Rattus norvegicus: one gene and its partners. The protein of the gene in region 1 purifies or fractionates together with the protein of each later gene. This does not show direct contact. Links are inferred from orthologs where the notes say so. Each region holds a gene or a part of one and is shown in the gene's direction. Other genes may lie near its edges. The genes, in order: Lrwd1, Orc4 and Orc3.

What was found.
Region 2: the proteins of Lrwd1 (region 1) and Orc4 purify together in Homo sapiens (affinity purification with mass spectrometry; 3 studies listed by BioGRID and IntAct, with this or other methods). This does not show direct contact. The link is inferred for Rattus norvegicus from reciprocal best matches to the Homo sapiens genes LRWD1 and ORC4.
Region 3: the proteins of Lrwd1 (region 1) and Orc3 purify together in Homo sapiens (affinity purification with mass spectrometry; 4 studies listed by BioGRID and IntAct, with this or other methods). This does not show direct contact. The link is inferred for Rattus norvegicus from reciprocal best matches to the Homo sapiens genes LRWD1 and ORC3.

The regions. Positions count from the first base shown.
Region 1 is NC_086030.1:26,165,602-26,169,349, forward strand, and holds the start of Lrwd1 (leucine-rich repeat and WD repeat-containing protein 1), read left to right. Parts: upstream 1-1,046; 5' UTR 1,047-1,165; coding exon 1,166-1,245; intron 1,246-2,499; coding exon 2,500-2,734; intron 2,735-3,151; coding exon 3,152-3,268; intron 3,269-3,748. Other genes in the region: Alkbh4 (alpha-ketoglutarate-dependent dioxygenase alkB homolog 4), read right to left, coding at 818-937. UniProt on the Homo sapiens protein: Required for G1/S transition. Recruits and stabilizes the origin recognition complex (ORC) onto chromatin during G1 to establish pre-replication complex (preRC) and to heterochromatic sites in post-replicated cells.
Region 2 is NC_086021.1:53,739,644-53,743,391, reverse strand, and holds the start of Orc4 (origin recognition complex subunit 4), read left to right. Parts: upstream 1-1,127; 5' UTR 1,128-1,229; intron 1,230-1,263; exon of another isoform or gene 1,264-1,429; intron 1,430-3,748. UniProt on the Homo sapiens protein: Component of the origin recognition complex (ORC) that binds origins of replication. DNA-binding is ATP-dependent. The specific DNA sequences that define origins of replication have not been identified yet.
Region 3 is NC_086023.1:53,929,353-53,933,000, reverse strand, and holds part of Orc3 (origin recognition complex subunit 3), read left to right. Parts: intron 1-959; exon of another isoform or gene 960-1,148; coding exon 1,149-1,228; intron 1,229-2,707; coding exon 2,708-2,808; intron 2,809-3,648. UniProt on the Homo sapiens protein: Component of the origin recognition complex (ORC) that binds origins of replication. DNA-binding is ATP-dependent. The specific DNA sequences that define origins of replication have not been identified yet.

The DNA.
Region 1 (3,748 bases):
CCAGAGCCATTCAAATGGTTACTTTTTATTCATTCATTGCCCATTTCCGTGGAAGGTGTTAGCCAAGGTCAACAGAGGGCTAAAAGGAAAACATTTTAACATCCTTCCCGGCCTACCCATCTCCTGACCCTATTACTACCTTGTAAGACAGATTTGTTTTTGTTTTTCAAGACCGGCTTTCCTGGAACTCCCTATGTAGATCAGGCAGGCCTGGAACTCACAGAGATCCGCCTGCCTCTGGATGCATCACCACTAGCCGGCTGTAAAGCTGATTCTTATAGGTTTGTTTTCCCCCGAAAAAAAATTTCCCCCAAACCAAAGTCTGTGCTGTCTTAAGTCGCTCACTCCCTGCCTGTCTTTCTTCTCTGGCTTTCATCAGAATTTCCAATACAAACAGCCAATCCCTACCATTTCCATGCGGACTCCTTTGTGCTCCCGAAGCACAAAGACTTCCAGGTATTAACTCCAAGTTATTTGCTACTGCCCCCCAGCAAAGTCATAGAGGTGATGTGTTACGGCTGCTTCCCTACTTCCAAGGCAACTCTTAAACCTGCTGTGTGGCTGAGGTTGGCTTCAACTTCTGACTTTCCTGCCTCTCGGCCTTTCAAATGCAGGGATCTCGTCGTGCATCAGCATTTCCCCGCCCTTCCCTCCATCAGTTGATGACACTTGGGAAGCCTCCACCTTTTGGGTTTTGTGAATATTGAACATAATAAGCGCTTCAACCAACTCCTTTACCGCGAGGTTTTGATCCCTTGGCCTCAGTTTCCCATTAAGATGAATAGATTTCCTGGGTATGACTTTTCCCAGTTCGTACCTGAAGGGAGATCTGCCAGGGCGGGTCCCTCTGGAGTCGTCTCTCGCAGATGAGACAGGTCCGGATACCTTTACAGCCGCACTCCTGCAAATGAGAAACTTCAGCCGCTACAGCCGCCATTGCACCCTCGGAGCAGCTAGGGCGCAGGCGCAAGGCACCGGGGCCTCTGGGAGTTGTAGTCCTCGCACGCAGAAGCAGGGGTTAGGGAGTACGGCTGGCGTTCTGCTTCCTTCCGGTCCCCTGGACTCTCAAAGGGTTTGTTGTGCGCCACCTCCTGGGCTCCCCAGCATCCGGCCTTAGTGACCAGACTTCGTGGAGGCGTGGGTTCGGTTGAGCCCTCGACCACCCATGGCTCCTCTCACGCCGCAGCTGCTCCTGCAACGTGGGCGACCCAAGACCGACAGGCTGGGGAAGATTCAGAGTCTGAAGTAAGAGCAGACGGGGTTGAAGCGGATCGGAGGCGTGGAGTTCTTTCCCGCCCCGGTGGTTTAGTGGGCGGAATGCAAGACTCAGACTCCTCTCTCCCCTCCTTCTGTCCCGGTTATTCTGTTATCTGGGGTTCGGGCCCTAGTCGAATCTCTATCTCGCGCCTAACGGAGATGCGGGAGATTAGCAGCCACATCCCGGCGTCCAGTGAACCTGGAGCGAACGCCTTTAGCCTTGCGTAGAGTGGAAAGATTGTTGAGCTGTTGAAGAATCCTGCTCGGAAGGGGCCAGCAGGACCGAGTAAAAGCAATCAAGGAACTTGGAAACCTCGGGTTCTAAAGTCGTTATGTGATCTGGTATTCGACGGCCGGGCGCAAGACTAACGTCATGCGTTGGCAGCTAGCCTGGGCTGTGGTATGAGACCCTGTCTCAAAAGGAAAAAAAAAAAAAAACTCTTCTTTTTAAAATTTCGAGACAGGATTTGTCTGTGTAAAAGCCCTGGTTGTCCTGAAACTGGCTTTGAAGACCAGGCTGGCCTCGAACTCACAGCGATTCCCCTGCCTCTGCCTCTTAAGTGCTGGGATTAAAGGCTTGTACCACCATGCCCAGCAATAAAGGATTCTTTAAGGGAGGGAAGGCGGGCCACAGAAATGATCCAGCAAGTAAAGGTGCCTGTCACCAAGCCTGAGTTCAGTCCCTTGGACCCAGACAGTGGAAAGAGAGAACCCCACTGGAAACCTGACCTACTTACTCACACTTTAGACTGTGCCCATTCACACACACACACACACACACACACACACACACACACACACACACAGAGAGAGAGAGAGAGAGAGAGACACAGACACTCTATAGTAAATAGAAACGTAATTTAGAAAGCGAGAAGGCTAGAATTGTTAGCACAGTTCAGTGGTACATTGCTTACTAGACATGCACAAAGCCTGAGTGTCCAAAGGGTTCCATCCCTACCAACGCCTGAACGGCTCCCAAGGGGTGGCACATGCCTGTCCTTCTAGCACGTGGGTAGAGGCAGGAGACTAAGTTCAAGGCTTTCCTGGACTACACAATGAACGTTTTGAGGCCAGCCTAGTCTACATAGTTCAGGATAGCCAAGTCTGAAAAAAATAAATAAATAAGCCCATACTTGCACAAGAACTTTCTTGGTGGAAATTCCTCTGGGACAGAAGGGGTGATGATCAGTGGGAGGGTCTGGCCCTCCCCCTGAGCTCTCTCGATCTCTGCTCTCATCCCAGTCTGTCAGGGCTGGAGCTGCTCTCAGAACACTTGGATCCCAATCTCCTGGGACGCCTGAAGAAGCTGAAGGAACTTGACCTCTCTAACAACTTGCTGGAAACATTGCCTGCTAACCTAGGCCTGTCCCATCTGCGAATCCTTCGCTGTACCAACAACCAGCTAGGGGACGTCACCACCTTGCACCAGTTCCCGGAACTTGAGGAGCTCAGTCTGGAAGGCAACCCTTTCCTGACGGTGAGAGGAGGGAGGGTTCTATCAGCAGGATGCTTAGGACCAGGATTCTGTGAGGCAGACACAGACTTCACTCTTTCTTTTATTTGGTTTCGAGACAGGGTCTCATGTAGCACAAGCTGGTTTCAAATTAACTGTGGATCCATGAATAGCCTGGAGCTCCTGATCCTCCTGCCTCCTGAGTTTTGACCATGTTCCACCAAGGCACGGTTTATGCAATGCTAGGAATCAGACTTGGGGCCTCGCGCTTGCTAGGCAAAGCAGTCTGAGCAACATGCCCACCCCATTTGGGTTTTTGTTGTTTTGTTTGTTTGAGGCAAAGAATCTTGCTTTGTAACCTAGACCAGCATCAAACTTCCGAACGTTGAGATTAATGGCATTGGTCATTACTCCTGGCTTTCCCTTCTCTCCTTCTGTTAGGTCAGTGACAACCTCAAAGTCTCCTTTCTCCTGCCCAAGCTGCGTAAGGTCAATGGCAAGGACACGGCCTCCACCTGCTCACAGGTAGAGAGCCTAGATCGGGAGCTGACCAACAGGGTAAGGATGATGAGGTGGGGGTAGGGTCCTTGGTCATATCAGTTGGGTATTGAGGGGGACAGAAGTAGATTTTTGGAGGTGTGTGACAGAGATCCTGGCCCAGACAGCCTCAAGTCTGAAGTGTTGAGTCTGGTTTTTTTTTTCTTCCTGTTTGGAGACCCTGTCTCGAAGGTCTCCAGCAAGCACAGCAGGACACCAGGGAGGCTAGACTCTGCAGTGAGCTATTTTTTTGGACACAGGGTCTTGCTTATGTAGCCCAGATGTCCCAGGATTCCTCTGCCTCAGTCTCCCAAGTTTGTCATCACCACCATGCCCAGTTGAACCAAACTGGTTTCAAGTCACGTGACTTCAGTTTAGGCTGGTAGCAAAATAAGAGGTCTTGCCCACAGAAGTTTCTAGAAGGTGGCGTAGTCATTATACTGTGTGGTCAGGAGGAAATAGGGTGGAGGTACTGTGTGTAGCCAGAAGACCCAGGCCGCA
Region 2 (3,748 bases), on another chromosome or scaffold:
CCTTCCCTGACAGGGTGGACACCCCACCTCACACACCCCTCCTCACTCCGGCCCCTCCTTCACTCACCCCCCAGCACCACCCCCTCCTCACCCCGGAGCTCCACTGCGTATGAGGTTTGGTGCTACTGCTGCCCCGGAGTGAAAGTCAGAGCCAGAGGAAGGCAATGGAGCCCCCGCAGACACACTTACCTTTCCTGCCCCCCACTTTTGAGTGCCTTCCCTGGAGCTGTGGAGGATGACACAAAGGGTAATAAAGGGGGGGAGTGGAGGAGGAGGAGGCAAAGGAGGAGGAGGAGAGCTGGGGAAGTGGCTGCTCCCGGTGTAGGGAGATGTCTCCAGCCAGGGCCAAGCAGCAGCAGCAGCAGCAGCAACAGCAGCAGTAGCAGCAGCAGCAGCAGCAGCAAAGGGTCTGTGTTGCTAAGAGGCTTTTGGTCTCTTTCTCTCCTTCTCTCACGGCCAAGAGAAGGAGGGTGGAGGGGGCTCTGGAAGCAGGCGAGTAGAGGGGCTGAGGGGGTAGGAGTCGTGGATGGGGGTTTTCTAAGAAGAAGAAACTCCTCTCCTCTCTCAGGCTCAATCCCCCACTCAGGGCTCAGAGCTGGAGGGTGGGGGAGGAACTCAGCCGTCTTCCCCCCACCCCCCTCAATTCAAGGTTGAAGTGGGGTAAAATTAGTGTCCTGTCCCTTTAAAAATAGAAATAAAAGGTGCCCCCCCTCTGCCACTGCCTCTCTCTTCATCATCAGCTGCTGCTGCTGCTGGGGTCTCTCTGCTTGGGGGGGAGGGGGGGCTCGGGTAGAAGAGACGGGAGGCACTCACTGCGCATGTCCCTTTCTGACGGGAGGCTGGTTGGTTGAAGGCAGGAGGAGGGGGAGGGGAGGAAATGAGATGTTTTCCCAGAAGGCTCCAAGGCGCTGTCGACCCGGAAGACATTGTAGCAGGGGGTAGAGGGGCGGGGGCGGGAAGAGGGAGGAAGTTGCTACTCTTTAACACCCCCAGCTGCCTCCTCCCTCCTTAGGGAAAGTGGAGGGACGGAAGTAGGCGTGGACCGAGGCAAAAGGAGGTCACGTGTTGGGGCGGGGCGGGGCCGCAGGCCGGCCGAGCACGGTGCATGCTGGGAGTTGCTGTGTGTTCTTGGCTGCCGCAGGTGAAACAGAGCTGGGAAGGCGGTGAACAATCCTGGGTCCTTACAGTCGGCGGAGGCTGCCCGATTTAGGCAGGCTTTATTGAGAGAGGTAAGGCTGGTCTCCTAGGCAAAGTCAGGGCCGTAGTGGCCATTGGCGGGTGAACAGTCTAAGGAGACTGGGAGGCTTCTGTAGGCCCAATAGGCCTAAAGCAGGCAGCCTGCGCCTGGCTCTTGGTTTCCCGGAGATGCTGTGGACGAAACCCTGAGCAGTGCAGAATTCTGCAAAGACCGGTTACAGAAGACTTGTAGGTGAGGAACATCATTGGTCAGTGTCGAGAGACCGGGTTCTCTGCAGAGAAAAGCACTACCTGCTTTAGAGCTTGCGACCTATTTGGAAAAACCAAACCAGATGTGTGAATTTTGGATCAGCTGCTACGGTACTTTGCTCATATTGGCTATGTTCACATCCTGCCTTCCTTCCTTTTCTGTATTCCTTGAGGGTTTGCAGAAGCTGTAGGCAAGGAACGGGCAGGAAAGGTTTGAGTGAAAGCACCCTGAATGCTCTGCCTTAATGCTGCAAACACAAAAGACTTGCACGTTTGAGGATGCTTGAGATTGTGTGGTCCTCCATACTGAGTTTTGTCATTAAAAAACAAAAACCTTGAAATTTTCTTTTCTTGTGGTGTAAAAGAAAGCTTTTTATCTGGGTATTTCTTTTTTTTTTTATAGTGAATAACGTTTTTTTTCTTCACCTTCACTTTCTTCATTAGTCTTTTAGTTGGTTTTTGTCTAGATACTTTGGAGGATTATTAATTACTTCGTCTTTAATAATTTAAGTTTCCTAAAAAAATTTTAAATAAAAGATCTTCGAACTTACTCTTAGTCTTAACTGTTTTAGTTCTGCTCCGTAGGATTCAGTCAGTTAAATCTCAATCTTGTTATTGAAAAAACTATTACCTCTCTCTCTCTCTCTCTCTCTCTCTCTCTCTCTCTCTCTCTCACAGACACACACGCACACGCACGCACGCACGCACGTGCACACGCGCCCAATTATTATGGCCTAGTTAGAACTTTTAAGTCCTGTTTGGTGTCAGGGCCTAAATGTGTGGAAAAGTGCACAAAACACAGATGTAATAAACAACTGTAACATAACCTGTAACCACTATGAATCAAGACCCAAAACATGGGTAGCAGCTGGCAAACACAGGCCCACTAATAGCTTCCAGACCGTTCTTCCTCCTGTGCTACTTTAATATTTTCTTGATTCTTGTGATTCACTGCTTTTCTTTTAGTAAAAATGTGTGTCAGCATTTCTAAACAAATATTAATTTGCCTCTTTTTATCTATTTGTAGTAGTTCACATATCCTAATAAGGCAGAGCATGCAGGAAGCCGTTGTTTACAAAGCTGAGAGTTGCCCCTGTTGATATATTTTGCTGTAATTTATATATTTTCGTTGTTGTATAAGAGTTTCTGAGGTATAAAACGCCTTTTTTTTTAACTAAGCCACAATTAGTCTTAATGAACTTTGACTTGTTTTTTTTTGTTTGCTAATAAATGATCTACATAACTACATAACAATCTGATTATCTAAATAAAATTTTTCATATGAACATAGCTGTGTATTTTTATGAGTTGTATATGGCTGTCTACAGTTTCACCAAACTTTAAAACTGGTGTGCCATTCTATACCCCGACCTCAGGTGTGATAGATCCTTGCTTGTACCTTCTCACCAACAATTTTCTTTTAATTTTGCCCATCTGATAAGTGTATAATTTGCAATGTGTTGAGTAAAGTTTTGTACTGAGGATATTGCCTGTTTTCAGAAACTGACTGGCTATTTGGATTCATTCATAAATTGTCTTTTATCCTTTTTAGGTCTTTTGTGTATTTTTTTTCTACTTTGCTGTTTTCCATAAACATTTGTAGCATTATGGCAGATAGTCTGTTCTTGGAGTATTACTTTCTTTCTGGATAGTATGTGAGCTTTCTAAATTTATATGTGGTTATTGTTTCTTGAATTTTATATTTAACTTTAACTCCAGGACATAGGTTTTCAACTTGTGCTAGACAGTACAACTGCCACTAGCCCTATGTGGCTTTTGGGCACTTGAAATGTTGTATGACTTACTATAGGATGTTGTTGTTTTTGTTTCATTTTATATATTAAAAGTGTGTAAAATACCTCAGCTTCTCACTATGTTTGCTTGTTAAAATTTTAACTACTTTTACTTTGTTTTGCTTTATTAAATATACTAGGAAATGTTAAATTAGAATTTACATTTATGTTGGACAGCAGTGTTCTTAACTATAAGTATTGACATAGATGTTTCTATATCTTGGCCACTTTCTTCTGATTAATGTCCTGCATTTCTGTCTTTTTGGCACCTTTTTTGGGCATTTAAAGAGAACTGTTTTTTAAGAACTACTTTGTTACCTATGGTTTGTCTGCTTTTCTACTCTGAGGAGGGGGAGGTGGAATTCTTGGTCATGGTTTAGAGTTCCTCTGGATTCTGGTATCAGTATATCATTGTCTTGTAAAACAGAAGAAACTGTACTTAGCTCCTGAAAATTAAACCCTTCTTCACTTTCATTAGCATGTATTCATAGTTAATTTGTTGTCTTTGA
Region 3 (3,648 bases), on another chromosome or scaffold:
CTCTTGGCTTCCAGCTCAGTGAGTCTGTGTGTGTGTGTGTGTGTGTGTGTGTGTGTGTGTGTGTGTGTGTGTGTAAGTGTGTATAAGATCAGTTCACAGTTGTAGTTTCACCAAAGAGAAGCCACTCTTAAGGACATAAATAAGGCCAAAGATATAGAAGAATATAAAATAGTCTCAGGAATTCTATAAAAAAAAGAAACTGCAGATACCATAATTTTAATTGGAGTTCATGTAACATGACCTAATGAACAAATCCTGTGGTAGACTAGCACTAAAGGATTGCCACTTTTCAAATGGAATGGCTGAAAATTAAAATGTTTGACAACAGTATAAAGAATAGAATGTTTTATGAATTAAAACAAAACCACCATCCTTATAATTTTGTCTTTATTTTCTTGGTTTAAAAAAAATTGTTATTAATAACAAAGTATATTTAAAATTTCTCACAAGAAGAAATATTTGGTTATTTGCCACCTATGGTCTCTTTACACTGCTGATGTATTTTAATTTAGAATTAGATTGGAGAGGGTTAAATTAGGCTGAGTTATAATCAATTTTACGGTTCTGTTACATGGCAATTGAATGGAATAAAGAATTTAGCTAGTAGTTATCCTGACCTTAGGTTAAAACTTTCTAAAATCAGGAATTATCTTCTGGTTCTATAAGAATAGTGTATATTCTTTAGCTAAATTTTTATGTTATTTTTGAACCAAACCATTGTCAGGTTCCCAAGTCAGTCAGAGAGAGTATCACATCCTCCTGAAGCACAGCCATACATTTATATCAGTGAGCACTTTATCTTCCTTGAAGCTTTTATATATCACTTCTTTATACTAAACAGAATGAATCAAAAGTAGTATAGTGGAAGGTTAGCGCAGGTCTATCAGAATGTAGCTGATCGTGCTTGAAATCTTAGGTCAAAGGAAGATACTTTCAAGTCTGTACCATTTTTTATATAGGCTTTTGCTAGAAACAGTCTGAGAGTTCGGTAGCTACTGGTGAAGACCTCACTACATATAAACGATGCAGTGTGTTGGCTTCAGCTTCTGGAGGGAGTTCACTTGTCTGGCAGGCTTGCTCATGTTTAAAGAAGCATGTATCTACTTCCAATGCCTCCTTTCTGCTGTGTATTGGTTTTGCATCCAAAGCAGATAGCAAAGAGGAAGAGGATGCTTGTGGTTCACAGCCAAAGGGGCTGCAGAAGACGGACCTGTACCACCTTCAGAAGGTAGGGGTCTCTCTTCCTCCAGCCGCACTGGGGGTGGTTCCCTTGTGGTAACTGGTGCTCTAGAATCGGTCTGCTAGAATGTCATCACATTCATCTTACATCGCAACCCGAGGCAATGCCCGCAGACTGAAGCTAGTAACTCAGACATCCTGATGCCATCTAAGCCGCAGGAAGGGGCTGAAGTATTACAGGAACTCTCAGGCCACTCCTATGGAGACACTGGAGACATCTGTAATCAAAATCCCTTTTGTGTCCTTGTTCTTACCAATGGAAAAAATTAACCAAGTGCCCAAACAAGCTGGACAGCAATTCATTAGGTTTTGTTGCTTTATTTTAAAGTCCCTCCCACGCCCCAACAAAGCAGCTAGGCAGTAACCGTCGAAGCTGCCGAGAGGAGGATAGGCTGGTGTGGCAGCAGGCAGCCTTGTGGCAGGGAGCGTATCTGTAGAGACTGTGGAAGCCCAGAGGATTAGGACATTTATTGGCCAGCATGCGAAAGAAAAAGGAGTAACCGTGCCTGAGTCAGTACTCAGAAAGACTTGCAAACCCAGGCAAACTTCATGGAGGTTTTTACTAATTACATAAGATGTTGAACTTCTGGAAGAAGGTAAATGAACCAGCCTTACTAGGGAAGCCTCCCAGCCAGGCCCTCCATTGAATTAATTCTCAAGGGAGAAGACAGTGGCCCATCTCCACCTACAGGTAGACTCCCTTCTGTGCTACAGTTCTGTTTGTCTCACTATCTTCCTACATTATATATGCACAGTCTACAGTCTACCTGACAGAATACAGACAATTCTGAAGCCTTAAGGAAGACAGAATTAACTGTAAAGGGGAAATGGAACATGGGTTACAAAAAGAATATGAATATAGTATACTTCTCTTTTTGATCAGAGTTAGGAGACTCTAAGTCAAAATTTGACACACACACACACACACACACCCCAATAGTGCTGAGAAGAAAACCCAGGGTGTGTCACCACTGGCTAGAGCTGTACCACTAAACTACAAATCTCAGCCTTTTTCTTTTTTTTAAACAACACTCATAGGGTAAAAGAGCACTTGATTGCCAGAGGAGCCTTCTTATTCCATTTCACCCAGTTAAAATGTGCCACAGAATTTCAGTCTGGGTGGAACTGCACTCTGCGCCTGCTGCTCCTGTGGCCGAGGCTGTGGTGGGTGGGGATGGATGGGGGTTTTCTTCCGCATCCTCCCGCACTCTTCCTCATGCTCCAAGTGAACACTCCTGTGTAACTGCGCAGTGAGGTAAACTTCTTCCCGTGAACGTTCACTTGGCTTATGTTTAAAGCAAAACAGAGGGGCAGATTCTTAACAGAAAATAAAGCACATTTTGATCTGGTTCTGTCTGCACTCTAAGTAAAGGGCATCAGCTGACTCCACATTAGTGACAGCTCAGAGTGACTCTGTTCCTAAGTCAAAGACGGCATACTTTAACCCACTCCCCACTCTGCCCTGTAGTCCTTACTGGAAATGAAAGAGCTAAGGAGAACAACTAAGAAGCCAACCAAGTTTGAAATGCTCAGAGAAAATGTTATAAACTTCATCGACAACCTGGTGAGGTGAGTCTAACGCTCTGAGGAGCTAAAAGTGATCCTGTTCTTCCATGACCCCAGTAAACTCGCTATCCACAGCCAGTCCAAGTGTTTCTGCCATCTGATCAGAGTTAGTACTTTTCTTGATCTTCTGTCCTTGTCCAATCAAATGATTTAGTTTAGTTTTTACTGTCAGCTCAGGAAGGCAGGTTTAAACTTCATCTAGCCAATTAGGCCAGGTGAGGAAATGTGTTTCAGAGTATTTTCTCAATTTTGCATTATTCTAACCATTTTCTGCCTGTAGTAGAAACAGACATTGTACACTAGCCATTTTATTAGTTTTGTTCTAAATAGTTTATCGGGACAACTAAGTATCAGTACCAAATCTACACAGCACCTATTCAGCAGCTGTCAAAGTCTCCTATCTAGTTTGCTTATGAGCCCTAGATCATTCTAGGTCTTTCCCAAAAGCCAGCTTTTGTGTGTATATAAAATGAACCAACCATGTTACAGATTTGAAAAAGGTTAAGTATACCAAAGAAAAGGACTTAACAAGTTAAAAACAGTACAAAATATAGAGGTTCGGGGGTTGGGGATTTAGCTCAGTGGTAGAGCACTTACCTAGCAAGCGCAGGGCCCTGGATTCTGTCCCCAGCTCCCGGAAAAAAAAAAAAAAGAAAGACAAAAAAATATATAGAGGTTCATGCCTGTAACCCCAACATTTGAGAGGCTAGGACAAGAAAAATCACTGGGTATTCCAGGCTAACATGACCTTAGGTTTTACATCACACTACTGGTTGAGACCCTGCGTAGAAAGGAAAGTAGGAAAGGTGTTGTTTCTAAATGAAGGCAGTTCAAACTGGTCAG